Linked DNA regions of Anolis sagrei. The protein of the gene in region 4 purifies or fractionates together with the protein of the main gene of each other region. This does not show direct contact. Links are inferred from orthologs where the notes say so. Each region holds a gene or a part of one and is shown on either strand. Other genes may lie near its edges. The genes, in order: PLCB3, PRKD1, LPAR2 and NHERF2.

Region 1 (7,850 bases), on a different chromosome or scaffold from region 4:
TCAGGAGAGAAGGGGCAGTTCTAATCTCCAGTGGGAGAGAGTTCCAGAGCCGAGGGGCCACCACCGAGAAAGCCCTGTCCCTCGTCCCCACCAGACGCGATTGCGAGGATGGTGGGACCGAGAGCAGGGCCCCTCCAGAAGATCTTAACAATCTTGATGGTTCATAGGGGAGAATCTGTTCGGACAGGTAAACTGGGCTGGAGTCGTTTAGGATTTATAGGTCAACACCAGCACTTTGAATTGTGCTCGGAAGCTAATCGGCAGCCAGTGGAGCTGGCGCAACAGAGGAATAGTATGCTCCCTGTATTCTGCTCCTGTTAGTAATATGGCTGCCGCTCGTTGGACTAATTGGAGCTTCCGGGCAGTCTTCAGAGGCAACCCCACGGAGAGAACGTTGCAGTAGTAGCTTATTTTCTGCTGCCCTGAAGACTAGGACGCAATGGAGCAATGGCTTCAAACTACAAGAAAGGAGATTCCACCTGAACATTAGGAAGAACTTTCTGACTGTGAGAGCCGTTCAGCAGTGGAACTCTCTGCCCCGGAGTGTGGTGGAGGCTCCTTCTTTGGAAGCTTTTAAGCAGAGGCTGGATGGCCATCTGTTGGGGTGCGTTGAATGCAGTTTTCCTGCTTCTTGGCAGAAAGGGGTTGGACTGGATGGGCCATGAGGTTTCTTCCAACTCTATAATTCTATGATTCTAAGATTTTTTTTTGTCGTGTCAGGAGCGACTTGAGAAACTGCAAGTCGCTTCTGGTGTGAGAGAATTGGCCATCTGTAAGGACGTTGCCCAGGGGACGGCCGGATGATTTGATGTTTTTATCATCCTTGTGGGAGCCTTCTCTCATGTCCCCGCATGAGGAGCTGGAGTTGATAGAGGGAGCTCTCCCCGGATTCGAACCTGCGACCTGTCGGTCTTCAATCCACCGGGGGCTCCTATTCTAAGATTAATGAGCTGGCCATCAAGAGGCTTCAGGAAGAACTTATCTCAAGATGGATGGAAGCTCTTTGCTATCAGTGGCCTAGTAGACACTCTGGTGCATGGTTCTCATTAATAGCAGCTCCTTAGATAAAGGTGCTTAAATGAAGACTGACAGGTGTTGAAGTTAAAATATGCCATTGAAGTCAAACAATGGCGAACAAATTGAAACTGAATCCAGACAAGACAGAGGTACTCCTGGTTAGTCGCAAGGCCGAACAGGGCATAGGGTTACAGCCTGTGTTGGATGGGGCCGCACTCCCCCTGAAGACGCAGGTTCGCAGCTTGGGTGTGATCTTGGATTCATCGCTGAGCCTGGAACCCCAGGTTTCGGCGGTGACCAGGGGAGCATTTGCACAGCTAAAGCTTGTGTGCCAGCTGCGCCCGTACCTTGGGAAGTCTGACTTGGCCACGGTAGTCCACGCTCTGGTTACATCCCGTTTAGACTACTGCAACACTCTCTACTTGGGGTTGCCTTTGAAGACTGCTCGGAAGCTTCAACTGGTTCAACGTTCGGCAGCTATACTAACAGGAGCGGCGCTCAGGGAGCATACAACTCCTCTGTTGTGCCAACTCCACTGGCTACCAATTTGCTACCGGGCATAATTCAAAGTGCTGGTGTTGGCCTATAAAGCCCTAAAGACGGTTCTGGCCCAAGTTACCTATCCGAATGCATCTCCGCCTATGAACCCACTAGGACTTTAAGATCTTCTGGGGAGGCCCTGCTCTCGGTCCCGCCTGCAACTCAGGCACGGTTGGCGGGGACGAGGGACAGGGCCTTCTCGGTGGTGGAACGCCCTTCCCACAGACATTAGATCGGCTCCCTCATTAATGGCATTTCGGAAGAAAGTGAAACCCTGGTTATTTGAACAGGCGTTTGAATAGGCAGTGCAATGAATTATAATGAATTATAGGAAATCGGAACTACGGATGATGAGCTTGGATTATTATTTTAGTTATGAGACGCTAATGAGTTGTTTACTGAGGTTTATTGATGTTAATTGCTTAGTGTATTATTATGTTAATTGTTTTTAAATGGTTTGTATGATGATAGCATTGAATTGTTGCTGCTGTTTGTTGTTAACCGCTCTGAGTTGCCTAAGGGCTGAGAACGGTATACAAATAAAGTAAATAAATTAATTAATAAATAAATGTAAAAGTAGAATTTTGTGAGGCACATTATGATGCCTGTATGATGCATGCATATTATGTTAAAGGGTATATAAACCAAGGCTTTTCTTTGTTTGGTGCCCTGTCTCTGGACTACCAGCAGGGTCCATACCAACTGAGAATAAACCGTACTTTTTCAGACCTCAGGGACTCTCTTTGCCTCTTTCCCTCAAACCTTCTCCCTGCCATTTCAGAACCTCATTAACATCATTCCCCACATCCAAAGCACCCTGATCCTGAAACACAACCACACGCTGAACTCCAACAGCCATCACACTTGGACAATGAGGGATTGTCTAAGTAAGTACAAGCCATTGATTGATAGTTGAATATCTGCAAAGTTGCATGATTCCCAGTCTTGCTTCCAGGCAGACCTTGGGCACTCCAGATGTTTTAGATTCCACTCGTAACATGAATCGGAATTAGATTTGTCTCACTTTTAAACTAGAAATAAAGTAGTGTAAGCTATTATAAAGTCAGGGAAACTAGAGAAGGGAGTGGAAGCTGATTGAAATGAATGGCAGCGGATCTTGCACAGCCTGTTCGAGGCAAGAAAACCAGTTTGTCCACAGTTTATTTTCTTGTTTGGTACTTTCCCTTTCAAAGAAATGAGGAAAGCAGAGTGCAGCGCTGTTGTTACAATCTAAAGGCAAATATTCCAACATTTCTCACTTATTTTGGTAATATCTCTAAATGCAGTGCGAACTACAAGTCCGGCACGGATGGGTCCGTGTGCCAAGTTTGGTCCAGGTCCGTGTTTGGCTGGGTGCAATTCCTCTATTTGCTGTGTACCAGGGGTCCTCAAACTAAGGCCCGCGGGCCGGATACGGCCCTCCAAGGTCGTTTACCCGGCCCTCGCTCAGGGTCAACCTAAGTCTGAAACAACTTGAAAGCACACAACAACAACAACAATCCTATCTCATCAGCCAAAAGCAGGCCCACACTTCCCATTGAAATACTAATAAGTTTATATTTGTTAAAATTGTATTGTCGAAGGCTTTCATGGCTGGAATCACTAGGTTCTTGTGGGTTTTTTCAGGCTATAGGGCCAAGTTCTAGAGGCATTTCTCCTGACGTTTCGCCTGCATCTATGGCAAGCATCCTCAGAGGTAGTGAGGTCTGTTGGAATTAGGACAATGGGTTTATATATCTGTGGAATGGCTGGGGTGGGGCAAAGAGCTCTTCTCTGCTGGAGCTAGGTGTGAATGTTTCAACTGACTACCTTCATTACCATTTGAAGGCCTGGCTGAGCCTGGGAAAATCTTTTGTTGAGAGGTGTTAAGATGTGCCTGGTTGTTTCCTCTCTGCTGTTTTGCTGTTGTAATTTTAGAGTTTTTAAATACTGGTAGCCAGATTTTGTTCATTTTCATGGTCTCTTCCTTTCTGTTGAAATTGTCCACATGCTTGTGGATTTCAGTGGCTTCTCTGTGTAGTCACGAATCCAGGAACATGAAAGGCACTGCAGACTACTCCAACCAGAGAAGTCAGCCATAGCAGAGCACCTGATGAACCAGCCTGGACACAGCATATTATTTGAGAACACAGAAATGCTGGACCACAACAACAACCACCATGTCAGACTACACAGAGAAGCCATTGGGTCGCTGTTTCCGGACACATTCCAGCTTGTCAGCTCTCACATATTTATACATGGCTATCATGTCTCCTCTCAGCCTTCTCTTCTTCAGGCTAAACATGCCCAGCTCCTTAAGCCGCTCCTCATAGGGCTTGTTCTCCAGACCCTTGATCATTTGGGTCGCCGTTTCCGGACACATTCCAGCTTGTCAACTCTCACATATTTATCCAGGGCTATCATGTCTCCTCTCAACCTTCTCTTCTTCAGGCTAAACATGCCCAGCTCTTTAAGCCGCTCCTCATAGGGATTGTTCTCCAGACCCTTGATCATTTGAGTCACCGTTTCTGGACAGCTTGTCAATTCTCACATATTTATACCAGGCTATCATGTCTCCTCTCAACCTTCTCTTCGTCAGGCTATACATGCCCAGCTCTTTAAGCCGCTCCTCATAGGGATTGTTCTCCAGACCCTTGATCATTTGAGTCACCGTTTCTGGACAGCTTGTCAACTCTCACATATTTATACCAGGCTATCATGTCTCCTCTTGCCCTTCTCTTTGTCAGGCTATACATGCCCAGCTCTTTAAGCCGCTCATCATAGGGCTTGTTCTCCAGACCCTGGATCATTTGAGTCGCCGTTTCCGGACACATTCCAGCTTGTCAACTCTCACATATTTATACAGGGGTATCATGTCTCCTCTCAGCCTTCTCTCATCATCATCATCATCATCATCATCATCATCATCATTTAATTACTTATTAATTGCCCTCCATCCAAGATGCTAGGCGATTTCAGCCTTCTCTTCTGCAGGCTAAACTTCACCAGCTCTTTCAGCCGCTCCTCATAGGGTTTGTTGATCATTTGAGTCTCCCTCCTCTGGACACATTCCAGCTTGTCAACATCTCTCTTCAATGGTGGTGCCCAGAATTGGACACAATACTCCAGGTGTGGAATATTATAATCCAGTTCAAAGCCTACGCCTGTTAGGAATTGTGGGAGTTGGAGTCCAAAACTCCTGGAGGGCCCATGCTTGGGCTACAGAGTTCTGAGGTATGAGAGGGAATGGGGCTCCTCCCAAAAGGAGGAGGAGGAGGAGGAGGAAAGGGAGGGTCCCCAAAGGCAGACCCCGCCTCGCTTAGCCTCGCCCCTCCCGGCCCAAGCAAGCAGCCAAGGCAAGGCAAGGCAAGGCAAGGCAAAGGCAAAGGCAAAGGCTTGGCTTGGCTTTCCGGGGAGGGGGCGCCATGGCTGGGGGCCGCCCGGGGGTCCATGCCCTCCAGCTGGAGCCCCTGAAGGTCCACGAGACCCTCCTCAAGGGCAGCAAGTTCATGAAGTGGGACGAGGTGAGTGAGTGTGCCTGCCTTCCTCCACTCTCTCTCTCTCTTTCTTTCTCTCTCTTCCCTTCCTTCTTTACTTTTCTTCCCCTCTCTCTTCTTGCTTCGTTCCTTCTTTTCTTTCTTTCCTTCCCTCTCTTTCCTTTCCTGCCCTCCCTCCCTCCCTCCACGTTTCTCTCTCCCCTCCTTTCTTCTCTCTCACTCCTTCCTTCGTTCCTTCTCTCTCCTTCCTTCCCTTTCTTTCCCTCCCTCCCTCCCTCACTCCACGTTTCTCTCTCTCCTTCCTGCTTTCCTTTCTCTCTCCTTTCCTTCCTTCTCTCTTTCTACCCTTTCTTTCCTCCCCTCCTCCCCTCTCTTCTTTCTTGCTTTCTCCGTTTCTTCCTTCCCACTTTCCGCTCTTCTTTCCTCCCCTACTCCCTCCCTACTTCTCTCTCTCTCCCTTCTTCTTTCTTTCCTTCCTTCCCTCTTTCCACTCTTCTTTCCTCCTCTACTCCCTCCTTCCTTCCTTTTCTCTCTCCCTCCCCCCTTCTCTCTCTTCCTTCCTCTTTCCTTCCTTCTTTCCACTGTTCTTAACTCCCTCTACTCCCTCCTTCCTTCTCCCTCCCTCCCCCTTCTTCTTTCTTTCTTTCCTTCTTTCTCTCTTTCCTTCCCCTACTCCCTCCTTCCTTCTCTCTCCCTCCCCCTTCTTCTTTCTTTCTTTCTTTCCTTCTTTCTCTCTTTCCTTCCCCTACTCCCTCCTTCCTTCTCTCTCCCTCCCCCTTCTTCTTTCTTTCTTTCCTTCTTTCTCTCTTTCCTTCCCCTACTCCCTCCTTCCTTCTCTCTCTCTTCCTTCCTCTTTCTTTCTTTCTTTCTTTCTCTCTTTCCTCCCCCTACTCCCTCCTTCCTTCTCTCTCTCTTCCTTCCTCTTCCTTTCCATCCTTCATTCTCTCTCTTTCCATCCTTCTTTCCTCCTCTACTCCCTCCCTCCATCCTTCTCTTTCTCTCCCTTCTTCCTTCCTTCCTTCCCTTTTTCCACTGTTCTTTCCTCCCTCTACTCCCTCCTTCCCTCTCTCTTCCTCTTTCTTTCTTTCCTTCCCTCTCTCTTTCCATCCTTCTTTCCTTCTTCTTCTCCCTCCTTCCTTCTTTCTCTCTTCCTTCCTCTTTCCTTCCTTCCTTCCTTCCTTCTCTCTTTCCATCCTTCTTTCCTCCCCCTACTCGCTCCTTCTCTCTCTTCCGCTTACCTTCCTTCTTCCTTCCTTCCTTCCTTCCTTCCTTCTCTCTCTCTTACCCTCCTTACAGTCCTCTCTTTTTCCTTCCCTCTCTTTCCAGCCTATTTCCTCCTCTTTCCTTCCTTCCTTGTTTACTTTCCTTCCTTCCTTCTCTCTCTTTCCATCCTTCTTTTCTCCCCCTACTTCCCCTTTCTCTCTCTTCCTTCCTCTTACTTTCATTCCTTCCTTCTCTCTCTCCTTCCTTACAGTCCTCTATTCTTTCCTTCCCTCTCTTTGCAGCCTATTTCCTCCTTCCTTCCTTGTTTACTTCCTTCTCTCTCTTTCCATCCTTCTTTCCTCCCCTACTCCCTACTTCCTTCTTTCTCTCTTCCTTCCTCTTTCTTTCTTTCCTTCCTTCATTCTCTCTCTTTCCATACTTCTTTCCTCTCCTACACCCTCCTTTCTTCTCTCTCTTCCTTCCTCTCTCTTTCTTTCTTTTCTTCCTTCCTTCCTGCCTTCTTTCCTTCCTTCCTTCCGTCCTTCTCTCTCTCTTTCCATCCTTCTTTCCTCCCCCTACTTTCTCCATCTCTCTTCCTTCCTCTTGCTTTCCCTCCTTCCTTCCTTCCCTCTCTTCTCTTCCTTACATTCCTCTCTTCTTTCCTTCCCTCTCTTTCCAGCCTATTTCTTCCTCCTCTTTCCTTCCTTCCTTCCTTCCTTCCTTGTTTACTTTCCTTCCTTCTCTCTATTTCCATCCTTCTTTTCTCCCCTACTCCCTCCTTCCTTCTCCCCCCTTCCATCACTTTTCCCTTTCCTTCCTTTTCTCTCTCTTTCCTTCTTTCTCTTGCTCATTCTTCCCTCTCTCTTTCCATCCTCATTTCTTACCCCTTTCTCACTCTCCTTCCTTCCTTCTTTACTTTCCTTGCTTCTTTTTCTCCTCCCTTCCTCTCTTTTTCCTTCCCCCTCTCTTTCCAGCCTATTTCCTCCCCCTCTTTCTCTCCTTCCTTCCTTCTTTACTTTCCTTCCTTCTCTCTCTTTCCATCATTCTTTCCTCTCCTACTCCTTCCTTCTCTCTCTTGCTCTCTTCCTTCACTTTCTCTCTTCCTTTCCTTCCTTCTTCCTCTCCCCCCCCCACTTTCTCATTTCCTTCATTCCGTCTCTCTCTTTCCATCCATCTTTTTTTCCATCCTTGAATCTCTCCCTCTCTTTCCTTCTCTCTCTTTCGCTTCCTCTTCCTTTCCTTCCTTCTCCATCTATCATTCTTTACTTTCTTTCTCTCTCCCCTCTGTCTTTCCATCCTTCCTTCCTTCCCCTATTCCCTCCCTCCTTCTTGCTCCCTTCATTTCTCTCTCTTCCTCTTTCCTTCCTTCCTTTTCTCTCACCCACTTTCTTTCTCCTTTCTCCTTTCCTTCCCTCTCTCTTTCCATCCATCTTTCCCCCATCTTCCTCTCTCCCCTTCCTTCCTTCCTTCTCTCTCTCTCTCACTTCCTCTTGCTTTCCTTCCTTCTTCTATCTTTCATTCTTTACTCTTTTTCTCTCTCTTCCCTCTCTCTTTCCATCCTTCTTTCCTTCCCCTACTCCCTCCCTCCTTCTCACTCTCTCCTTCCTTCCTTCC
Region 2 (7,279 bases), on a different chromosome or scaffold from region 4:
GACTGCAGTTCAGACACCAGAAATAGTGGGTTCATCCCACATCTTCCAATAAGGGGCGGAATAAATTCACTACCTAATTAATTTTCTACAAACCAGGGTTGGTAGCTGTGCCTCCTTCACATATGGCCATCATTTCATGCCAGGGATCATGGGGTTGTAGTTCAACTCCCACAATTCCTTCTGCAAAAATACAATGACAACATCATTGATGTAGGCAGAAGCGTCTTCATTTTTCAAGTAGTGGGAGGTGTAGATAACAGTTCCAATGAAACTCATCCAGCTCCAATGAACCATCTCCACCTACTATCTTTTCTCATAACGCCCCATTTCTGTTCTGATCATCACAGCAGAGATAGACAATTTGTCTATCTGTCAATCTGTCAATATAATTTCTCATTTTCCTTACCTGACATTTATTATGTCCCAATTTTTGATCTTCCTCTAAAACTGCATTTTAAAAGTCGCAAATGAAAATATGTATGTCTTCTTCTAATAAATGCATTTTTATTCAATCTGTCCAATATATGCATTTCAGCAAACAGTTTTTCTTCATATAATGCTGCTTTTTCATTAATATATATGCAGCTTGTGTAACTGCCCCCAATGTATGTGTTTATAAACATTTTAAAATAATTTTATTAAATTGTACATCAAAAATACAACTTCCAAACATTTTCTGGTTGAAGGAATAGCATTGTAAAATTCTGAAAAGTATGACTACCGAAGTATGATCATAACCTGGTTCCCATATCAAATATTTTGCAGTTCTCATAGTCCAAACAAAAAAAAAATAATTCCCATCCTTTTCTAGCAATGATATAAAGAAGGACAAACATAGTCTAAAACTGAATTATCTACAGTAAGCATTGCTGACTTATAAAAGTGCCATTGGGAGTAATAATACTTACTTAGGCGATCCCTCGTTGTCTGAATACGATGGCCTTCCAAGTGTAGTGTCTTGGCGGTGGATATGTAGGTGATTGTGGAGTCTTATTCTTGATCTGCATGTTCATCCACAGTGAGGGCATCGGCTGTCAGCTGGAAGCCAGTTCCAATCAGGGTTGGCTTGACGCACCTTTCTCTTGGCACATTTTTCCTTTTTGCTCTCCATTTGTGCCTCTTCGCATTCTGCAGCACTGCTGGTCACAACTGACCTCCAGTTAGAGAGCTCAAGGGCCAGTGCTTCCAAGTTCTTGGTGTCTATGCCATAGTTTCCAAGGTTAGCTTTAAGCCAACCTTAAATGGTAATGGTAATGGCAATAGTTGATAGGTAATAGGAATTAATAGGTGATAGTAATGGTAATAAGTGATGTAACTATTTTGAGCCAGAAACAAATCTAAAAGTAATTCTGTAAATGGAGAATATCTCATTAGGTCTTATGTTGCAGGCTCACCATCTTAAAATGATTGAGTCACTATAACAGGTATGGGCAAACCCAGGCGCGGGGCCAGATGCAGCCCCTTTGGCTCTTTTCTCAGGGCCTCGTCTCTCTCACCATCCTATCATTCCTTCCAGAAGGAAGGAAGGAAGGGAGAGAGGTGGGGAAGTCAAGAGAACTCGGCTTCCTTCCCCACCTCTCTCTCACCCTTCCTTCCTTCCTTCCCTCCCTCTTTCTCCCTCCCTCCTTCCCTTCCACCTTTTCATCCTTCCCTCCCTCTTTCTCCCTCCCTCCTTCCCTTCCACCTTTTCATCCTTCCTTCCCTCTTTCCTCCCTCCCTCCCTCCCTCCCTCCCTCCCTCCCTCCAATCCTTTCCAGTATCCTTCTCTTCCTCCCTCCCTCCCTTCCTAATCATTTTCCTTCCTCCTTTCCTCCTGAGAAATGTTTAGCTGGGAGAAAAGAAGGTAGAGAGGGAACATGAAAACCATGCTTCAAGATTTAAGAGAGTGTCCCATTGAGGAGGAGGAGGAGGAGGGGGAAAATTGACTTCCCGCTGTTCTAGAGACCTGTCTGATGGAGCTATAATGAAAATTTTAAATTTTTATGTATGTTTTAGTATGATTTTATGTTTTATGATGCTTGGTTTTAATTTGTCTGTATGGTTTTTCTTTTCTGGCAATTGAATATTTTGCCTTATAGGTTGGAAACCACCCCGAGTCCCTCTGGGGTGATAGGGCAGTATATAAATAAAGTATTATTATTATTATTATTATTATTTGACACATAACAAGATTAGTACACAGCGAACAAGATCTCTATGTTGCCTTTTGCAATTGATCACACATCGGACACTTCTCAAGTATCTAGGTTTGTGTGATGTATCAGCAAATAATGAGTGCATATCCAAGTAGGGTGTCCTTTTGCAGCTGACAGATGGTAATTTTGTCAGTGCTGCCGCTGATTGTTTTTAAGTGCAGGCCACTGCACCCAGTGTGCCAATCACCACTGGGACCAGCTTTACTGGCTTGTGCCAGAGTCTTTGCAATTCTATCTATAAATCTTCATATTGTGTAAGCTTTTCCAGTTGCTTCTCATCAATCCTGCTGTCACCTGGGATTGCAACATCGACGATCCATACTTGTTTTTTTCCTCCATGATCATGAGGTCAGGAGTATTTTGCTCCAAAACTCTGTCAGTCTGAATTCAGAAGTCCCAGAGTAGTTTGACGTGTTCATTTTCCATAACTTTTTCAGGTTTGTGATCCCAGTTCTTTGTCACAGGCAGATGGTATTTGTGGCACAAGTTCCAAAGGATCATCTGAGCAATATTATTATGCCTCTCCTTGTAGTCTGTCTGCGCGATCTTTTTGCAGCAGCTGAGGATGTGATTGATCGTTTCATCTGCTTCCTTGCAGAGTCTACACTTGGGATCTGCCATCAACTTTTCAATTCTGGCTTTGATAGCATTGGTTCTAATGGCTTTTTCTTGGGCTGCAAGATTCAGTCCCTCCATCTCCTATAATAACAACAACAATAATGATTTTACTGACACAAAAACACAGTATGACATAGCAATCAAGATATATATGCTAGATTTCATATCACAAAATCACAAGTAGAACACTTCCCAAGCATTTAGGACTGTTTGATATATTTTCGAATGATGTGTGCAGATCCAAGTAAGGTGGCCTTTTACAGTTGAGATTGTGATTTGTCAATGTTCATTGTTTCCAAATGCTGGCTGAGATCTTTTGGCATGACACCCAGTGTGCTGATTACCACTGAGACCACCTGTACTGGTTTATGTCAGAGTCTTTGCAGTTCAATTTTGAGGTCTTGGTATAATCCAAACTTTTTTCTTTTCCACAATCATGATATCTGGTGTATTGTATTCCAAAACTTTGTCAGTTTGGATTCAAAAGTCCCACAATATTTTTGCATGTTCATTTTCCATGACTTTTGCAGGTTTATGATCCCACCAGTTCTTTACTACAGGCAGGTGGTACTTGTGACATAAGTTCCAATGAATCATTTGGGCCACATGGTTGTGCCCCTGTTTGTAGTCTGTCTGTGCAATTTTCTTGCAGCAGCTGAGGATATGATCAATGGTTTCATCAGCTTCCTTGCACAATCTGCATTTTGGGTCATCGGCTGATTTTTCGATCCTGGCTGCCTCCGCCTCCTCCTCCTCCTCCTCCTCTTCTTCCATAAACTGTAATAACATAATGTCATGAAAACTTTTCATTTATATTTCAGAAAAAAGTAAGATAATAACACACATTTTCAAGATTTTGTCATTTCTCGTTATGTTTATGTGACACATCTGCACAGTGCAACCAACACACTAACGTGTCATGACATATGGTTTGGAAAGCTCTGCATTACACCATGGCGGCTCTTAAATTTCTATTAAGTTCAAATTCCCAGTCTTTTGCACAGCATTTTTGTGTTGCCTAATTTGTCATACAAGATACACTCTAGAGATGCCACCCCAAGATCCTTGGTATAAAAAGGATGCCAAGGAAATGAAAAGAGGCCCATCCTGCTTTATTAAAGCTTTCATTTGAACAAGAGCTGAAACATGCACTTGTTCTGTTGCTGGAAAGACAAACTCCTCCTTCCTGCATTAAACATAAAGAGCTTCTGGTTAGAAAATGACATTCACTAGATAGGATGTTTTTGTGTGTTTGGTAAATAGAAAAAAAATGACAGGTGGTGGGTGGGATTCTTTCTTATTATTCTCCACTAAATCAGATTGGGGAGGAGGAACAGCTGAGATGAAGGACACAGCAGTCAGCTGAACAGAACCCCCCGTTTTATGTGGTGACAGCTGCCTCCCTCTCCTGTCAGCATGTGACTGGCTCTTTGTGTGTGTGTGTGTGTGTGTGTATGTAAACTGGGATGGGGGAGATCTAGAAAGAGTGGGCTGGCAGGTGGAAGGAAGCTCCTACTCACGTGTAAGTCCTAAGCCAGCCCAGAAGTAGGAAGGATTCAGTATTTCTTCAATGTGAACAGCAGCAGTGCACAAACCAGTAAGAACAGCTGGGATGAAGGCTGCTTTGAAGGTATCTGGAGGGCTTCAAGGGAAGGGGGAGGGGGAGGGAGATTGTCTCCCTTTTCTTTATGCGAGACTTGTCAGGGTTGGAAAGGGAGGTGTTAAGTTGGACTTTATGGAAAGGTGGACTTGGGAGCAAAAGGGTTACATGGATTGGAATGTGCTAAAACAAATTAACTAGATGGCAAGAGGGAAGTTTGGTATGAAGTTGGGAAAGGGGGGGAGTTAGGCAGAACACAGGTTGGCTATTTCCGCCTCTTTTTGAGGGCTTTTTTTTGGGAGGGGGGGAGTTAGGAAGAAAGAAGGTTGCCAATTTCCTCCTCGCCCCTTTTGATGGCTTTTGGGAAGGGTGGTGGAGGAAGAAGTGACCTATTTCCTTTTTTTGGAGAGAGAGGGAGTAGGAAGAACAAGTGCTGCTGATTTCCTTTCCATTTTTGATTGCTTTTTTGAGGGAGGGGCTTCCTATATGGCAAGAAGTTTTGTACAAAGTGGTCTGGGAGATGTTAGGAAGAATTAAGGTTGCCAATTTCCTTCCCCTTTTTGAGGAATTTGGGAGGGCAGCAGGAATTAAGAAGAATTTATTTATTTATTGTTGTTGTTGAAGGCTTTCATGGCTGGAATCACTGGGTTGCTATGAGTTTTCCGAGCTGTATAGCCATGTTCCTGAAGCATTCTCTCCTGACGTTTCACCCACATTTATGGCAGGCATCCTCAGAGGTTGAGAGGTCTGTTGGAAACTAGGCAAGTGAGGTTTATATATCCGTGGAATGTCCAGGGCGGGAGAAAGAATTCTTGTCTGCTTGAAGCAAGAATGAATGTTGTAATTGGCCACCTTGATTAGCATTGAATAGCCTTGCAGATTCAAAGCCTGGCTGCTTCCTGCCTGGGGGAATCCTTTGTTGGGAGGTGATTAGCTGGCCCTGATTGTTTCTTGTCTGGAATTCCCCTGTTTTTTGAATGTTGTTCAAGATAATAAATATTTATTTATTATCTTGATTTATATCCTGACTTTCTCCCTGTGGGGACTCAAGGTGGCTCAGATTCCACATCAGGCAAGTTTAAAAGGTGCAATACGAAAGTTAAAAAGAAATTAACAAGGAGCAGTGTGGTAAAAACAAAACTGAAATACAGTAGATATGCTAAAATGCCATTTAAAACTCACAGGAAGGTTTCCCTTTTTGATGGCTTTTGACAGGAGGAATAAGTTACCAATTTCCTCTCTCTTGGGGTGGGGCGGGGGGGGGGCTAGGAGAAGAGAGGGCTGCTAATTTCCTCTCTCTTTATTGAGGGGAGGTAGATAGAAGAAATTAATGTCAACTTCTTCCCTCTTTTTGAGGGGAGGGGGTATTAAGAATAAGCAACACATCTTTGGCAGGCATCCTCAGAGGTTGTGAGGTCTGTTGGAAACTAGGCAAGTAAGGTTTATATAATAATGATAATAATAATAATAATAATAATAATGAAAGTTTATTTATAGAGCACCCTCTCTCCCCAAGGGGACTCAGGACAGTTTACAAACAACAAAGGTAAACATTCAATGCTTGAACTCAAATACAAATAAAATAAAGAGGATAATACAAAAATAATAACCATAAAATTGTGACAAAAAGGAAATTAACATCAAAACGAGGGGCAAATACGAATAACTGAATAAACCTAATTATACTAATGACATAAATTAACCATTGAAAAATAAAGCCTAGAAAATACAACTAAAAACATTAAAATGACTATCAAGGTTGTTCTTCTCATGTACCATAGCAGCAGTGGGATACAAATAGGTTAGCCAGCATTCCTGTGGAACTGAAATGCCCTAATCCTCCTCCTCTCCATACATCAAAGTGCACAAGTGCGTTTTCAAGAGCCCTTTAAAGGAGAGGAGGGTAGGTATCATTTTTATTTCTTTGGGAAAGGAGTTCCAGAGATGGGGAGCGATCGCAGAGAAAGCCCCCCCCCCTCATTCTCACCAGCCACACTTGTGATGATATCTGTGGAATGGAAAGGAGAAAAAAAACATGAAAATGAACAAAATCTGGATACCAGTATTTAAAAAACTTTAAAATCAGGGCAGTAAATGAAGAGCATACTCCAAAAAACAAGGGAATTCAAGATAGGAAACAATCAGGGCCAGCTAATCACCTCAAAACAAAGAAGTCTCCCAGGCAGGAAGCAGCCAGGCTTTGAAGCTGCAAGGCTATTCAATGCCAATCAATCTGACTAATTTCAACATTCACACCTGTCTCAGGCAGACAAGAGATTTTTTCTTCCACCCTGGACATTTCAAAGATATATAAACCCCACTTGACTACATTCCAACAGACCCCTCAACCTCTGAGGACGCCTGTCATAGATGTGGGTGAAATGGGAGGAGATAATGCTTCTGGAATATGGCCATACAGCCCACAATGATGGAATCATTGAGTTGGAAGAGACCTCGTAGGCCATCCAGTCCAACCACCTGCCAAGAAGCAGGAAAATTGCATTCAAAGTACCCCCGACAGATAGCTATCCAGCCTCTGTTTAAAAGCCTCCAAAGATGGCACTTCCACTACACTCCATGGCAGAGAGTTCCACTGCTGAACAACTTTCAGGCTTGGGAAGTTCTTCCTCGTATTCAGGTGGAATCTCCTTTCCTGTAGTTCTGTGTCCTAGTCTCCAGGGCACAAGCAGAAAACAAGCTTGTTTGCTTCTCCCTATGACTTCCCCTCACATGGCCCTCATCATGTCTCCTTTCAGCCTTCTCTTCTGTAGGCTAAACATGCCCAGCTCCTTAAGCCTCTCCTCATAGGGCTTGTTCTCCAGATCCTTGATCATTTTAGTCATCTTCCTCTGGATACATTCCAGCT
Region 3 (7,571 bases), on a different chromosome or scaffold from region 4:
AAGAAACAATTGTCAATGAATACAAATATGAGTAGATCAATAGGTACCACTTTGGTGGGATGGTACCAGCACTCCATGCTGGCTACATGACCTTGGAGGTGTGTACGGACAACGCCGGCTCTTCAGCTTATTTATTTATTGAAAACTTTTATATCCTGATCTTCTCAACCTCCGTAGAGGGACTCAGACCGTCTTACAGCAAGGATTCAATGGTAATAGTACAATCTAAAAACATCATATAATAACGAGTTAAAATACATATCAATTAAAATTACAAATAAAAGCCAAATCGCCAAGATAAAATCATGTCCAACTCAGTCCGCATGTGTGGTCGATAACTTTATTCTGTAGCCGGTTTCAACCATCACTCTGGGAATGCTTCCTTCCATAACCAGGATTTCACCTGAAGGACAGGAGGGAGGGGGCAAATCTGATATCAATCGAGAGAGAGTTCCATAGCCGAGGGGCCACCACAGAAAAGGCCCTGTCACTCATTCCCGCCAGACGTGATTGCGAAAGTGGCGGGACCGAGAGCAGGGCCCCACTAGAAGATCTTAATTGTCTTGATGGTTCATAGCTTAGAAATTGAGATAACGCCCCCCCCCCCCCCCCCAGATCTGGACATGACTTAATGTCGAGGGGAAACCTTTAAACTTACTTTACAAATACATGCTGTTTCCTGGCACATTGGGAGAAATGGTCCCTTGCTTAGATAACTTAAAGAGCATTACTTCCAGCACCTGATATTTCTTGGTAGTCCTTCATTCAAGTACTAATGATACTGGAAACTGTTTAGTTTCCAAGAACAGAGAGGATCTGGTGCCTTCCAGGTATTTAGACTAAGTATGTTACAATGTGCAAAAATAATCAATCATTCTGAGATCTCAGGATATTGGCTATTTCATCATAACTTTGCTGTCTTGGAACCAATGTTTGGCAATCATAATGTTGGAAGACACCATAAGGATCATGCCATGCAGGAACACACAAACCAACAGATGTTATCCAGCCTCTGTTTGTAAACCTCCAAAGGCGACTCTGCCACAATCCAAGGGTAGTTTGTGTTGTCCTTTCATTCTACGTTATCTCAAGAGTACTTTAACCACCTTTTTGCATTTGAAACCCCAGCAAACGTTTTTTTCTAATACAAAGCTACAAAGCCTGTGAAAAATGCTACAAGGTTTTCATCCTCTGTGATGTTTTTTATATGATTATGACTATTCACAGCCTGAAAGAATGGGAAAACATGGCCTTCCAGCTACTGGTGAGTGCAGATCCCAGTATTTTGCATCTTGGAGTATGCTGGTGAGAGCTGCTAGGAGTGTAGTTTAAGAAATCCAGAGATTGTACATTTGTGCTGTGCAGGATTGCTGCCTAAATGTGCAATTCACCGACGCATCTGATCATGTTATTATAGCCTCCTTCCACTCACTGGGCAGGAAGGATGCAACCCAGGGGTCCATTGTTTCTTATTCTTTACCAATTACTGTGTCCATGTCTGAGCCATAAGTCCTAAACTGTTGTGAAAAATGATCTCTATATCCAGAAAGTCCTTCTCAGTCTCCTCCATTACTTATTGTGTGCATAAAGATCCCCAATTGAGCCAGCCCCTCCTTCAAACAGTAGGCCTTATTGTCTCCAGGGTTAGCAATCTATTCCCATCACTTTAAAATCCCTTTAATCCAGACGGCAGTTCAAAGGCCTAAAACCAGCAGTCCTAAACCCAATTATTTACGGGGCTAGGACTCAGCACTTGCAGCCTCATTACTACATCCACTTACCCAGATGCAAGCCTCACTTTCTTCTGGATTTTCATTTACTTCTCAGTATGCTTACGCATACTAACCTGGATGCAAGCTCTGTTGAACACAGTGGGGCGTACTTCTGAGTAAACAGATACGATACTGGGTCACACATTCCAATGAACCAACAGGGACTTACTTCTGAGTAAACATAGATAAGCCATGGGCTACAAGCCTTATATAGTTTGATACCGTACTGTTTACACTGAAATATGTCCCACTGGGCTCTATGGAGCATACTTTCAAGTAGGAAGGGCTCAAGACAATTTGCTGCCCAGGGTGGAGAAGCAAATGGGGTGTCTCCTTTCTCGAGTCAAAGGCCAGCTACTTGGAGGAAGTAAAAAAATCCCACAAATTCCTCTTCCTGGCAAGGAGGATACAGCAATGATCATTCACATCAGCAAAAATGTGTTCCTTTTTTCTTCTGACATCAGAAATCTGCCTGAAGTGGCTGCACCACTCAACTTAATAGTAAGGATCCTTTCACACACTACATATATGGTTCTAGCACTATGCTTCCATGTTAAATGCCATGGTTCTATCCTGTGATTTATGGTTTGGTCAGAGGCAGGAGAGGAGTGCTCCAGCTGAAAAATCTTCCTTATCTGTTAATCCTTAGATCTGGTAGAACTGAGCCAATGGCAAAGTATCTCTGTTCGCTCCCCTCATCACAACACCCCTTTTACATGCAAATAAGCAAAGGAAGAAACTAGTTTTATCCAGTGGTAGGGGAACAAAGGGTGATCTTAAGATGCTTTTTACGGTAATGGGTCATCTGCTCCACAAAACACACTGATTTAGATGTTGTGCAATCCTTTGGGGAAGCCCCCCCCCCCCATAACAAACTGAAATGAATGGGAATCTGCTAAAGAACACCAAAGTCAGACATACCTCAGGTAGTAGATGTAGAATGTCACAAAAGAGGGGCAAAGTAATGGTAGTTTAGTTTGTTGTATTTTCACCGCGTGTGTATATTTGTTTGCGTATATATATGTGGTTTTGTGCATGCATTGTAATGTTTTTTTATTTATTTCTGGGCTTTTTAAGTCTCTTCCGCTGGGTTTTTCAGTGTTCGGTTGTTATAGGTTTTTCCGGGCTATAGGGACATGTTGGACTACAATTACTATCAGCACTTACCATCTCAGATTTTATTTAGTACTGGTTGAATAATCCTTATCCGAAATCCTTGGGATCAGAAACGTTTTGTATTTCAGATTTTTGTTTCAGTTTTGGAAAACCTATGTTTGCATATTTTTATATAATGGGAAATCTTGGAGGGGGAATCAAATGTACGCTTTATCAATATCTTACACACATGGCTTAAAGGTAATTTTGAGCTTGAAACAAAGATTTGTATAGTTGTTGTAGGTTTTTTCGGGCTATATGGCCATGGTCTAGAGGCATTCTCTCCTGACGTTTCGCCTGCATCTATGGCAAGCAGCCTCAGAGGTAGTGAGGATGCTTGCCATAGATGCAGGCGAAACGTCAGGAGAAAATACCTCTAGAACATGGTCATATAGCCCGGAATAACCTACAACAACCCAGTGATTCTGGCCATGAAAGCCTTCGACAATACATTTTTCAGTGTTTTTATTAGTGAAGGTAACTCGCTGGCCTGATACATATATTGTGTCCAAATTTGGTGTCAATTTGTCCAGTGGTTTTTGAGGTATGTCAATCCCACAAACAATTACATTTTTATTTATATAGATTAATATATTCAAAAACCCGCGAAACAGCGAGTCCGTTAAAAGCGAATTGCGAAGTAGCAAGGGAACACTGTATTCTGGTTCAAAGCAGATAACGTAGGGTTTTATTCAGATGTGTGGAAGGGGGCTGGAGGCCCTTCCACATTGCCCTATATCTCTGAATATCAAGCCAGAAACTCCTAGAATATCTGGTTTGAACTGGGTTATCTGAGTCCACACTCAGATAATGTGGGATTTTCTGCCTTGATATTCTGGAATATAGGGCTGTGCGGAAGGGCCCAGTTCAAAGCGGATATTGTGGATTATTTGCCTTCATATTCTGGGTTATATGGCTGTGTGGAAGGGCAGAAAATCCCACGTTGAGTGTGGACTCAGATCGCCCAGTTCAAACCAGAAAGTGTGGGATTTCCTGCCTTGATATTCTGGGATATAGGGCCCTCCGATCACCCAGTTCAAAGTGGATATTGTGGATTATTTGCCTTGATATTCTGGGTTATATGGCTGGTGGAAGGACAGAAAATCCCACACTATCTGAGAGTGGACTCAGATTGCCCAGTTCAAACCAGATAGTGTGGGATTTTCTGCCTCCATATTCTGAGATATAGGGCTGGGTGGAAGGGCCCTCAGATCACCCAGTTCAAAGTGGATATTGTGGATTATTTGCCTTGGTATTCTGGGTTATATGGCTGTGTGGAAGGGCAGAAAATCCCACATTATCTGAGTGTGGACTCAGATCGCCCAGTTCAAACCAGATAGTGTGGGATTTTCTGCCTCCATATTCTGGGATATAGGGCTGGGTGGAAGGGCCCTCAGATCACCCAGTTCAAAGCGGACATTGTGGATTATTTGTCTTGATATACTGGGTTATATGGCTGTGTGGAAGGCCCCCTTAATCCCCCTTTCCCAGACAGAAACTCCACAAAGGAGTGGCTGCCCAAACAAAGCTTCTGGAGACCCGGAGGGGGCTGGAGAGGACAGTCTTTCTTTCCTTGCAGATGAATGGCAAGTGGAGGAAGAAGGGAGGAAGGAAGGAAGAGGCAAGAGGCGACTCAGGTTACAATTCCTGGGTGGCTTAAGGGAGCAGGTCTCCTGCAAGGCGAGGGAGGCGGGCCTGGGCCAGCGAGCAAGGAGGCCCCAGAGCGGGAAGGCAGTTCTCCGAGGCAGAAGGGAAGGAAGCCAGGCAGAAGGGAAGGCGGCCGGCTTGGCAACTTGGGCAGCCTTTGGGGAGGGTGGCGGAGTGTGGCGGGAGTCTTTGAGTCCTCCCTCCTTTGGTCTTTGTTGAAAGGAGACCCAACAGCAAGGGAAGGAGGGGAAGGGGGAAGGGGAGAGAGGCCCGACCCAGCTGCCCAGCAATGACAAGGAACTTCGGCTCCAGAAACCTCACCCTTGGGAGGGAAGAAGCCCGGCGCTAGTCCCTTTCTCTCGGACTCTCCTCTCTGCCTTCAGGTAAGACCTCTCGCTTTGGCGAGGCGGGAAAAGGGCAAACAATGGAAGCAAGGGCTTGTTCCTCTAGCCAAGGCGTTCCCAATCTCTCCCTCGTTTTCTCAGGGCAGAGGGGGGTAACTTGGGAAAGTGGCGGGAGGAAGAAAGGAAGAAAAAGAGCAGGACGGATGCTCTTGCGCTCAGATAGAAGGAGGAAGGAGTTCAGTGTCAGTCTAAATGTTGGGATATAGAGTGGAGAAGGAGCCCAAACTTTCAACTCAGGACTTTAAAGGATATAGGGTTTGGCCCTAAAGTTGGGTTGTAAGTTGGAGAATCTCCACGTTTGTTTAGAAAAACAACCATTCTATGTTTCTAGTCCTCATGGGGTGTAATTTTACTGCAGAATGGCACTCTTCGGCAGAGAAAGTTATACCTTGTCAAACTACAACTCCCTTAATTCCATAGCACAGTTCAAAGTGGTGCCAAACTCCATTCATACCACTGTGTAGATGCGCCCATGATGGGGAAGGAGCAAAGCAGGGCTTTATTTAGCCTCAGGCCCCTTCCACACAAGCTGAATAAAATCTCACATTATCTGCTTTGAACAGTGTGGACTCAGATAACTCAGTTCAAAGACAATGTGGGATTTCCTGCCTTGATAATCTGGGTTATATGGCTGTGTGGAAGGGCCCTAAAGCCCCTTCTACACTGGCATAAAACCCAGAATATCAAATCAGATAATCCACATTTTGAACTGGATTATATGGCAGTGTGGACTCAGGACCCTTCCACACAGCCATGTAACACAGAATATCAAATCAGATAATCCACACCAGATTATATAGCAGTGTGGACTCAGGGCCCTTCCACACAGCCATATAACACAGTATTTCAAATCAGATAATCCACATTATTTGATTTGAACTGGATTATATGGCAATGTGGACTCAGGGCCCACACAGCCATATAACCCAGAATATCAAATCAGATAATCCACATCAGATTATATGGCAGTGTGGACTCAGGGCCCTTCCACACAGCCATATCACCCAGAATATCAAATCGGATAATTCAATTTATCTGCTTTGAACTGGATTATATGGCATTGTAGACTCAGGGTCCTTCCATGCAGCCATATAACTCATCATATCATGGCAGAAAATCCAGATTATCTGCTTTGAACTTGATTATCTGAGTCTACACTGCCATATAATCCAGTTCAAACCAGATAATCTGGATTTTATACAGCTGTGTGGAAGAGGTCTGGGAGTCCTGGTTTCAATCAGCCCAATCATCACTTTCAGCCAGCAGAGCCCTCAACTAGTTAATCCAGGTTCTCAGCACTTTCATGGTCTTCATAATTGAAACAGCAGCAACTTTCTTTTCTTTCTGCAAGTGGACTGTGTTGCACATTGAAAAAGGGAAATGGGATGTTTTGGCAGAGAGAACTGAAGGATGGCAATGATGTTGTGATGGACGGATAGGTGTCAGTTCTGTACAGCCTGCGTCTTCCTGTTGGTTTGTTTAGTTACAATGTTGGAAAATACCTGAAGGGCATAAGTTTGTCTACCTTATAGTATAAAAATGAAATCACGAGTCTACTCTTAGTTCTAGGCCAGTCCAAGGCACCATCTACACTGCCATATACAATCCAGATTATCCGCTTTGGACTGAATTATATTAGTCTAAGTGTCCGACTCTGAGGGGTGGTGCTCATCTCCAATTCTAAGATGAAGAACCGGCATTGTCCGTAGACGTCTCCAAGGTCATGTGGCCAGCATGACTGCATGGAGCACCCTAACCTTCCTGCCAAAGTGGTACCTATTGATCTACTCATGTTTGTGTGTTTGAAACTGCTAGGTTGGCAGAAGCTGGGTCTAAATAGTGGGAGCTCACCTGCTCCCCGGATTTGAACTGCTGATCTCTCAGTCAGCAAGTTTAGCAGCTCGGTGGTTTAACTGCCACATATTTCAGTTCAAAGCAGGCAATTCTGAATTTTATATGACTGTAGAGACCTAAGAGACTTTGCTGTCTGAGGCCAAGGAACTGCTTGCCTTCTCCTACCTATGGTCCAAATCAAATTGCTCTCTTCTCTTCCCTAAAAAGACAACTAAGGCCCCTTGTACATTGCTATATAATCCAGATTACCAAAGCAGATAATCCACATTATCTGCTTTGAACTGGATTATCTGAGTCTACACTGCCATATAATCCAGTTCAATGTGGATTTTATACAGCTGTGTGGAAGGGACCTTGGTTTAATGGTGGAAAGCCAGTCCTGTCTCAGGCCCCTTCTCTCAAAATACTGTATATGGTGTGAACTCATCCTGTGTTACCCTTTCGCACAGCTGAATTGGTTCCCTGTAGGGAAGTCTGTGGGTTGATAAACAGTGCAGGAAACTTGAGCAACCAATAACTGCTGAAGGCAGTACAAATACTGTCCTCCAATCTCAAGGGGTTGGATGTTGGATGGCTCTCCAAAACTATGTGCATCCTGCCCTGAAGACAGATGAGCAGGGCTTGATATGGGCTGGAATCCTCCTTAGCAGGAAGGAAAAGGCCTTGGGCACAGGGGCCATGAAAGAAGTGACGAATGCCAGAAAGACCTATCTATACTGGAAACGTATAGCAATTTAAC
Region 4 (7,634 bases):
CCCAAAACTATCTAGATAGATGATTCCCTTGAAGCTGAGAGATTGTTTCCTGTGGAAACAGAAGCAAAGAGTATGTGTGTTTGTTAATTCTCTTTCTTGACAGACAAGCCCTGATCATCACCTTTTGTTTAAGGAGTCTCACACCTTTGTTTTCGGAAGCTCTTATCTTTGTCTGCTATCAAACTGGACAGTTGAGCGAATCAAAAGCTCATTAACATTTCCTTGGTATTGTCTTCACAGATTATGTATCCTCCCAGGGGGGTGTTACATCAAATGATTAGTCCTTCACCGGCCTATCCCCGACCTTCATTTCCCTACCAAAGTGGCAGCATCAGTAGAGCCTCCAGCCAATCGGGGTATGGATCCTTACCAGTCCCCTTTTTGACCAATTAGAGGAGGGAGTGGGAGTTTTGAATAGCTGTTAAACTGTATAAGATATCTTGCTTTTCTCTGTGTGTTATGCTTGCACTTTTTGAAGCATCTTGCTTGTACTTGCATCCCTTTTGGCCTAATTGAATTAAACCTCTGTGGCTTGTCTTCATCCTGGTGAGTTGTTTCCCTGTCCTGACCCATTCGGTTTAGAATATGCTTACCAGGCACGGACCCTCTTATCAGTGGTCCTAGTTTAACCACTACACAAATAGGAAATTGAGCATGTTTTGGAGAAATTACAGGAAGTCACTTTGGGGCTCTTTTTTAGCTGCTTTGGGGCTCTTTTTTAGAGACATAAAGCAGGATAGAAACAACAACAATAGCAACAACAACAGCCTAGAATTGTGCATTCTAATTACTCCATGATCAAGGGTAAGTGAATCTGAAGATATGGGTTCTGCCGTTAAGGGTGGTCTTACTATAGTTCTTAAAAGTTTAGCTTCAGCAGCAAACTATATTTCCTAAGAGTTGTTTAGACTTCCATCCAGCCAGACTTCTATCTGGCTGGCTAACTTTTAAATGGAGATTTGCTGGAGTTTATCATGGTTGAATCAGCAGATGGCAGCATTGGATCAATTTTGGCCAGGCTTCGGCAGCCTTGCATTGGAAAGCTCTCTGCAGTATATTGAAGATCCAATGTCTTGTTCTTATTCCAGTTATATCACCGCACAGCACAGTCTTGCCATACGGTGCAACCCTCTTGGTAGTAATTAATGTGTCTCTGTGTCTGGTTTGTAAAGTAAAAGGCAGAAAAACCAGAGGAAGACCTGAATGGACTCCATCAAGAGAGCCCTGAGTTTGGAAGGGCGGAATAATATTAGGATCTATTGGAGGTCTCTCATTCATAAAGTAAACCATAAGCTGAAGCTGGTTAATGTATTATTATTTACTGCAAAGAGTCTAAATACCTTCAAGGCACCAGATTCTGCCTCAGCTTGGATGCTAAGCAGGGCCAGCCCTGGATGGCATTTGGATGGGAGACTGCCAATATAGATCTAAGTGCTATACGCAATATTTCACAGAAAGGAACTAGCAAAGAAAGGCCTAAATCCTCTAAAGGCACCAGATCCCAACTGACTGTGAATGCTAAGCAGGGTCAGCCCTGGTTGGTTCCTGGATGGGAGATCGCCAATGTATATCTAAGTGCTATAGGTAATATTTCCAAGAAAAAAGACTACCTAAATCCCCTAAAGGCACCAGATCCCAACCAATTGTAGATGCTAAGCAGGGTCAGCCCTGGTTGGTACTTGGATGGGAGATCACCAATGTATATCTAAATGCTATAGGTAATATTTCAAAGGAAGGAACTACCTAAATCCTCTAAAGGGACCCAATCCCAACCAATTGTGGATGCTAAGCAGGGTCAGCCCTGGTTGATACTTGGATGGGAGGCCGCTAATGTATATCTAAGAGCTATAGGAAATATTTCAAAGTAAGGAACTAACTAAATCCCCTAAAGGCACCAGATCCCAACCAATTGTAGATGCTAAGCAGGGTCAGCCCTGGTTGGTACTTGGATGGGAGATCGCCAATGTATATCTAAATGTTATAGGTAATATTTCAAAGGAAGGAACTACCTAAATCCTCTAAAGGGACCCAATCCCAACCAATTGTGGATGCTAAGCAGGGTCAGCCCTGGTTGATACTTGGATGGGAGGCCGCTAATGTATATCTAAGAGCTATAGGAAATATTTCAAAGTAAGGAACTAACTAAATCCCCTAAAGGCACCAGATCCCAACCAATTGTAGATGCTAAGCAGGGTCAGCCCTGGTTGGTACTTGGATGGGAGGCCGCCAATGTATATCTAAGTGCTATAGGCAGCATTTCATAGGAAGGAACTAGCAAAGAAAGGCCTAAATCCTGGATCTCAACTGATTGTGAATGCTAAGCAGGGCCAGTTTTGGATGATACTTGGATGGGAGGACACCAATGAATACCATAGGAAAAACCATGTCAAAGTTTTCCTTGCATAAGAAAACCCGGAAATCCATAAGCCTGGCAGTATGATGGCAATGGGAAGAAAGGGGAGCCTACGCTGCATTGCTTCTTTGAGAACAAATCCTTCCTTCAAAGCACTCCTCTCGCATTGTATGACAGCAAGGGGTCAAAGCACTCAGCTCCTGAATCCTCCATAATGGAGGCTGTGGGCGGAATAAAGCACCTGGAACACACCGCTCTTTAGGCCTCCGGAATGAGACCGCTGTGCAGGGTGTGCAGAACGGCAGGAGACTTTTCTTCAAAAGCTTTAATGTGTTGTTCTTGCCATTTGCGAACAAAAGAGCAGCAAAATGATTGAAGGGGGTGGATTCTGAAACACCTTCGCTCCCCTGAAAACATCCAAGGTTTCCTGCCAGTTCTAAGTTCCAATGTCACTCGTGCAAGGAAAGAGAAATATGGAGAAACAGGGGACTTGAATCTTGGGACCCTAGCATTGGAAGGGGCCTCTAAAGGCCATCCAGATGAGTGTGAACTCCAATCTTTGCTTACTTCTTGCTCAGAAATACCCATTATTTGCATGCTGGGTAGAAAGGGGCTTGAGTATCGATATGCAGCTACACTGCAGAATTAATGCAGTTTGATGCCACTTGAACTGACCTAGTTCAGTGCTATGGAATCCTGGGAGTTGGAGTTTTGCCTTCCCTGCCAAAAGATGCGCTTTGTGCCTCCCCAAAGTGGCTTGAATGTTACAATCCCCATTTGGTTGCACAAGGTGGTTATGTTTGTTTTTAAGCTTTGGGAAAATAGGAAGGAAGGAAGGTAGAGAGAAGTGAAGGAAGGAAGAGATGGGAGAGAGAAGGAGGCAAGAGAAAGAAGGGTAGGAGGGAAGGGAAAAGGTGGAAAGGAAGGTAGAAAGAAAGAATACAGAGAATGAATGAAAGTTAGAAAGAAGGAAATTTAAGAGCTTCAGAGTAAGAGAAGTGTAGAAAGAAAGAAGGGGGTAGGAAGGAAGGAAAAGAGAAGTGGAGAAGAGGAAGGAAGGTAGAAAGAAGCAAAGAGAGAAAGGAAGAAAGGATAATAGAAAGAAGGAAGAAAGATGGGAAGAAATGAAGAAAGACAGAAAGGATGGAAGACAGAAATAAGTGAAGACAGAAAGAAAAGAAGGAAGATAGAGAGAAGTGAAGAGAGAAAGAAATGAAGATAGAAAGAAACAAAAAGAGAAAGGAAGGAAGAGAGCTTCTTTTTGGGAGGCTTTTAAGCAAAGGCTGGATGACCATCTGTCAGGGGTGCTTTGAATGTGATTTTTCGGCTTCTTGGCAGGGGGTTGGACTGGATGGCCCATGAAGTCTCTTCCAACTCTATGATTCTAAGGAAGGTAGAAAGAAATGAAGAAAGAGAGAAAAGAAGAAAGGAAGGAAGATGGAAAGTAGCGCAGAAAGAGAGAAAGAAAGGAAGATAGGAAGGAAGATAGAGAGAAATAAAGAGGGAAAGGAAGGAAGATAGAAAGAAAAACGTGAAGAGAAAAAGGATGGAAAATATGAATAAGTGAAGAGAAAAAGGAAGGAAGGAAGATAGAAATAAGTAAAGAAAGAGAGAAAGGGAGGAAGGGAGGTAGAAAAGAAAGGAAGAAAAGATGGAAGGAAGGAAGGAAAGAAAGAAGGTAGAAAAGAAAGGAAGAAAAGAAGGAAGGAAAGAAAAGAGGTAGAAAATAAAGAAGGAAAAGGAAGGAAGGAAAGGAGGTAGAAAAGAAAGGGAGGGAGGGAGGTAGAAAAGAAAGGAAGGATGGGTGGAAGGAAGGAAAGGAGGCAGAAAAGAAAGGAAGAAAAGACGGAAGGAAGGAAGGAAAGGAGGTAGAAAAGAAAGGAAGAAAAGAAGGAAGGAAGGAAGGAAGGAAGGAAAAGAGGCAGAAAAGAAAGAAGGAAAAGAAGGATGGAAGGAAAGGAAGGAAGGAAAGAAAGGAGGTAGAAAAGAAAGGAAGGAAACAAGGAAAGAAAGAAAAGAGGCAGAAAATAAAGAACGAAAAGAAGGAAGGAAGGGAGGTAGAAAAGAAAGGAAGGATGGATGGAAGGAAGGAAAGGAAGGAAGGAAAGGAGGCAGAAAAGAAAGGAAGGATGGAAAATCCAGAGTATCTGAGAGGGAGAAAGAAAGAGAGAGAAGATAGAGAGAAACAACGGAAGGAAGGAGGAAGAGGAGAGAAAGGGGACGCCCCCTCCTCTTTCTCTGAGCCCCCCTTCCTTTTTCCCAACCTCTGGAAGGTTCCGGTGGATGAAGGAAGGAGGGAAGGAGCAAGGAGAGCGAGAGAGAGCGAGAGAGAGAGAGCGAGCGAGCGGGGAAGGGGCGGGGCGGCCTTGTTGTCCTTCCTCCTCCTCCTCCTCCCCCTCCCCTTCGTGGCCATGATCCGCACCGGGGCTCGGGTCCCTCTCTAGCCTGGCTCCGTCCGGCAGCCGCTTCCTCCCGCCCGCCCGCCCGCCGCGGCCATGGCCAAGGAGCAAGGCGGCGCCGCCTCGGCCTCGGCGGGCTCTCCGCCGTCCTCGCCGCCCGCCTCCTCGTCCTCGTCCTCGGGGCCCCCCGTCCCGCGCCTCTGCCCCATGCGCAAGGGCCCCTCCGGCTACGGCTTCCACCTCCACGGGGAGAAGGGCAAGAGCGGGCAGTTCATCCGGCAGGTCGAGCCCGGCTCCCCCGCCGAGGCCGCCGGGCTGCGGGCCGGAGACAGGCTGGTCCAGGTCAACGGGCACAACGTGGAGAAGGAGACCCACCACCAGGTCAGAAGGAGGGAGAGGGCGGGCGGGGTGGGGGGGGGGGGAAGAGCAAAGACGGGGCTCTCCCTGCCTGCCTGCCTTTCTCAGGCATGGGCCAACTTCGGCCCTCCAGGTGTTTTGGACTGCAACTCCCACCATTCCAAAGAGGGCAAACTACAACTCCCAGGGCCCAATCATATTGAGCCAGGAGGCAGTTCAAGCGCTAAACTGCAACCATTCCACAGTGTGGACCAGGCATGGGCCAACTTCGGCCCTCCAGGTGTTTTGGATTTCAACTCCTACAATTCCTAACAGCCACAGGCTCTTTCCTTTTCCGCTTAAGCGGCCGAGGGGGGAAAGAAAGGGGCCTGAGGCTGTTGGGAATTGTGGGAGTTGAAGTCCAAAACACCTGGAGGGCCAAAGTTGGCCCATGCCTGGGGTATCTATCTATGTATCTCTCTCTCTCTCTCTGTGTATCTCTCTCTCTGTTTCTGTCTCTCTGTATCTATCTTCTATCTATCCCTTTCTATCTTTCTCTCGTCTGTCTGTCTGTCTGTCTGTCTCTCTCTCTCTCTATCTTCCTCTGTCTATGTATCTATCACCTATCTCTTTCAATCTTTCTCTGTATCTATTTGTGTATCTCTGTGTCTACAATATCGATCATCAATCAATCAATCTTTCCATCTTTCCGTCTACATGTGTGTGTCTCTCTTTCTATGTCTATCTATCTATCTATCTATCTATCTATCATCTATCTCTTTCTATCTCTTTCTATCTTTCTCTGTATCTATCTATCATCTATCTCTTTCTATTTTTCTCTGTATCTGTGTGTCTCTATCTATTTCTGTGTATCTCTCTCTCTCTGTCTCTCTCTCTCTCTCTGTGTGTATCATCTATCTATCTCTTTCTATCTTTCTATCTGTCTGTCTCTCTCTTTCTATCTCTGTGTATCTATCATCTATCTCTTTCTATTTTTCTCTGTATCTGTGTGTCTTTCTTTCTATCCTTTTCTATCTCTCTCTTTTTATCTGTCTATCTCTCTATCTATTTGTGTATCTCTCTATCTATCTGTGTATCATCTGTCTCTTTCTGTCTTTCTGTCTGTGTCTCTATCTATTATCTATCTATCTCTTTCTATTTCTCTCTCTACCTATCTATATGTGTCCCTCTTTCTATCTCTGTGTAACTCTCTCTGTGTCTATCACTCTCTCTGTCACTCTCTCTCTTTCTTTTCATCTATCTATATCTATCTATCTATCTATCTATCTATCTATCTCTGTCTGTGTACCTTGCTCTCTGTCTCTGTTTAACTCTTTCTCTATCTATCTATCTATCTATCTGTGTATCTCTTTCTCTTTGGCCACTTCTACACAGTTGTATAAAATCCACATTGAATTGGGTTATATGGCAGTGAGGACTCAGATAACCCAGTTCAAAGCAGACATTGTGGATTATCTGCCGTGATATTCTGGGTTATATGGCTGTGTGGAAGCCCCTTCTCCATATCTCTATCTTTGTGGTGTATCTCTATCTATCTATCTATCTATCTATCTGTGTATATCTCTCTCTCTCTCTCTCTCTCTCTCTCTGTATCTCTATTTGTCTATCTCTGTGTATCTCTCTTTTTCTCTATGGCTGGATCTACTCTGTCATATAATCCAGATTATCAAATCAGAAAATCCACATTATTTGCTTTGAAGTGCATTATATGAGTCTCCAGTTCAAAGCAGATAATCTGGATTTTATATGGGGCCCAAATCTGTGTATCCATCCTCTATCTATCTATCGATCCCTCTATCAATCTATCAATCTATCTATCTACCTATCTATATATCTCGTATCTCTTTGTGTATCTGTGTATATATCTCTCTGTATCTATCTATCAATCTGTGCATCTATCTATTTTTCTATCTATGTATCTATCAGTGTATCTCTATGTATCGATCTTTGTATCTATCAATCTGTTTATCTATCTGTGTATCTCTATCTGTATCTCTCTCTCTCTTGATCGATCTATGTATATCTATCTATCTATCTATCTTTCTATCTGTCTTCTAAATGTTCATTACACTAACCAGCCATTTGTGTGGAGGGTTCACATGGGGTCTTCCTGCCCTGCCAAAGGAGGTCGGACTGGAGGGCCTTCAGAGTCCCCTTCCAATTCTAGCATCCTATGATCCTATGACCCTATTTCTCCATATCTATCTATCTGTCTGTCTGTCTGTCTGTCTGTAAATGTCTATGTATGGGGCAGGTTCCAATCTCTCTCCTGCAGCTAGAGACCATTCACCATCATTTTTTAGCAAGGAAAAAGAAATATCGAGACATTGAGCAATAGAATCATAAGGTCCTAGAGCTGGAAGGGGCCTGTAAGGCCATCCAGTCCAACCCCATTCTATTAAACAGGAAGGCTGTCAGCATCCAAGCCCTCCCCACAGATGGCCATTTAGCTTCATGGACATTTGTGGAGAAACAGGGCAGTTGAATCATAGGGTCCTAGAAATGGAAGGGGCCTCTAAAGGTCA

What was found.
Region 1: the proteins of NHERF2 (region 4) and PLCB3 purify together in Homo sapiens (co-immunoprecipitation; 3 studies listed by BioGRID and IntAct, with this or other methods). This does not show direct contact. The link is inferred for Anolis sagrei from reciprocal best matches to the Homo sapiens genes NHERF2 and PLCB3.
Region 2: the proteins of NHERF2 (region 4) and PRKD1 purify together in Homo sapiens (affinity purification with mass spectrometry; 3 studies listed by BioGRID and IntAct, with this or other methods). This does not show direct contact. The link is inferred for Anolis sagrei from reciprocal best matches to the Homo sapiens genes NHERF2 and PRKD1.
Region 3: the proteins of NHERF2 (region 4) and LPAR2 purify together in Homo sapiens (affinity purification with western blotting; 3 studies listed by BioGRID and IntAct, with this or other methods). This does not show direct contact. The link is inferred for Anolis sagrei from reciprocal best matches to the Homo sapiens genes NHERF2 and LPAR2.

The regions. Positions count from the first base shown.
Region 1 is NC_090032.1:16,250,740-16,258,589, forward strand, and holds the start of PLCB3 (1-phosphatidylinositol 4,5-bisphosphate phosphodiesterase beta-3), read left to right. Parts: upstream 1-4,838; 5' UTR 4,839-4,961; coding exon 4,962-5,060; intron 5,061-7,850. UniProt on the Homo sapiens protein: Catalyzes the production of the second messenger molecules diacylglycerol (DAG) and inositol 1,4,5-trisphosphate (IP3).
Region 2 is NC_090021.1:298,204,585-298,211,863, reverse strand, and holds the start of PRKD1 (serine/threonine-protein kinase D1), read left to right. Parts: upstream 1-4,279; 5' UTR 4,280-4,425; coding exon 4,426-4,443; intron 4,444-7,279.
Region 3 is NC_090022.1:147,098,389-147,105,959, forward strand, and holds the start of LPAR2 (lysophosphatidic acid receptor 2), read left to right. Parts: upstream 1-4,562; 5' UTR 4,563-4,957; intron 4,958-7,571. UniProt on the Homo sapiens protein: Receptor for lysophosphatidic acid (LPA), a mediator of diverse cellular activities. Seems to be coupled to the G(i)/G(o), G(12)/G(13), and G(q) families of heteromeric G proteins. Plays a key role in phospholipase C-beta (PLC-beta) signaling pathway.
Region 4 is NC_090034.1:20,931,868-20,939,501, forward strand, and holds the start of NHERF2 (Na(+)/H(+) exchange regulatory cofactor NHE-RF2), read left to right. Parts: upstream 1-4,620; 5' UTR 4,621-4,848; coding exon 4,849-5,133; intron 5,134-7,634.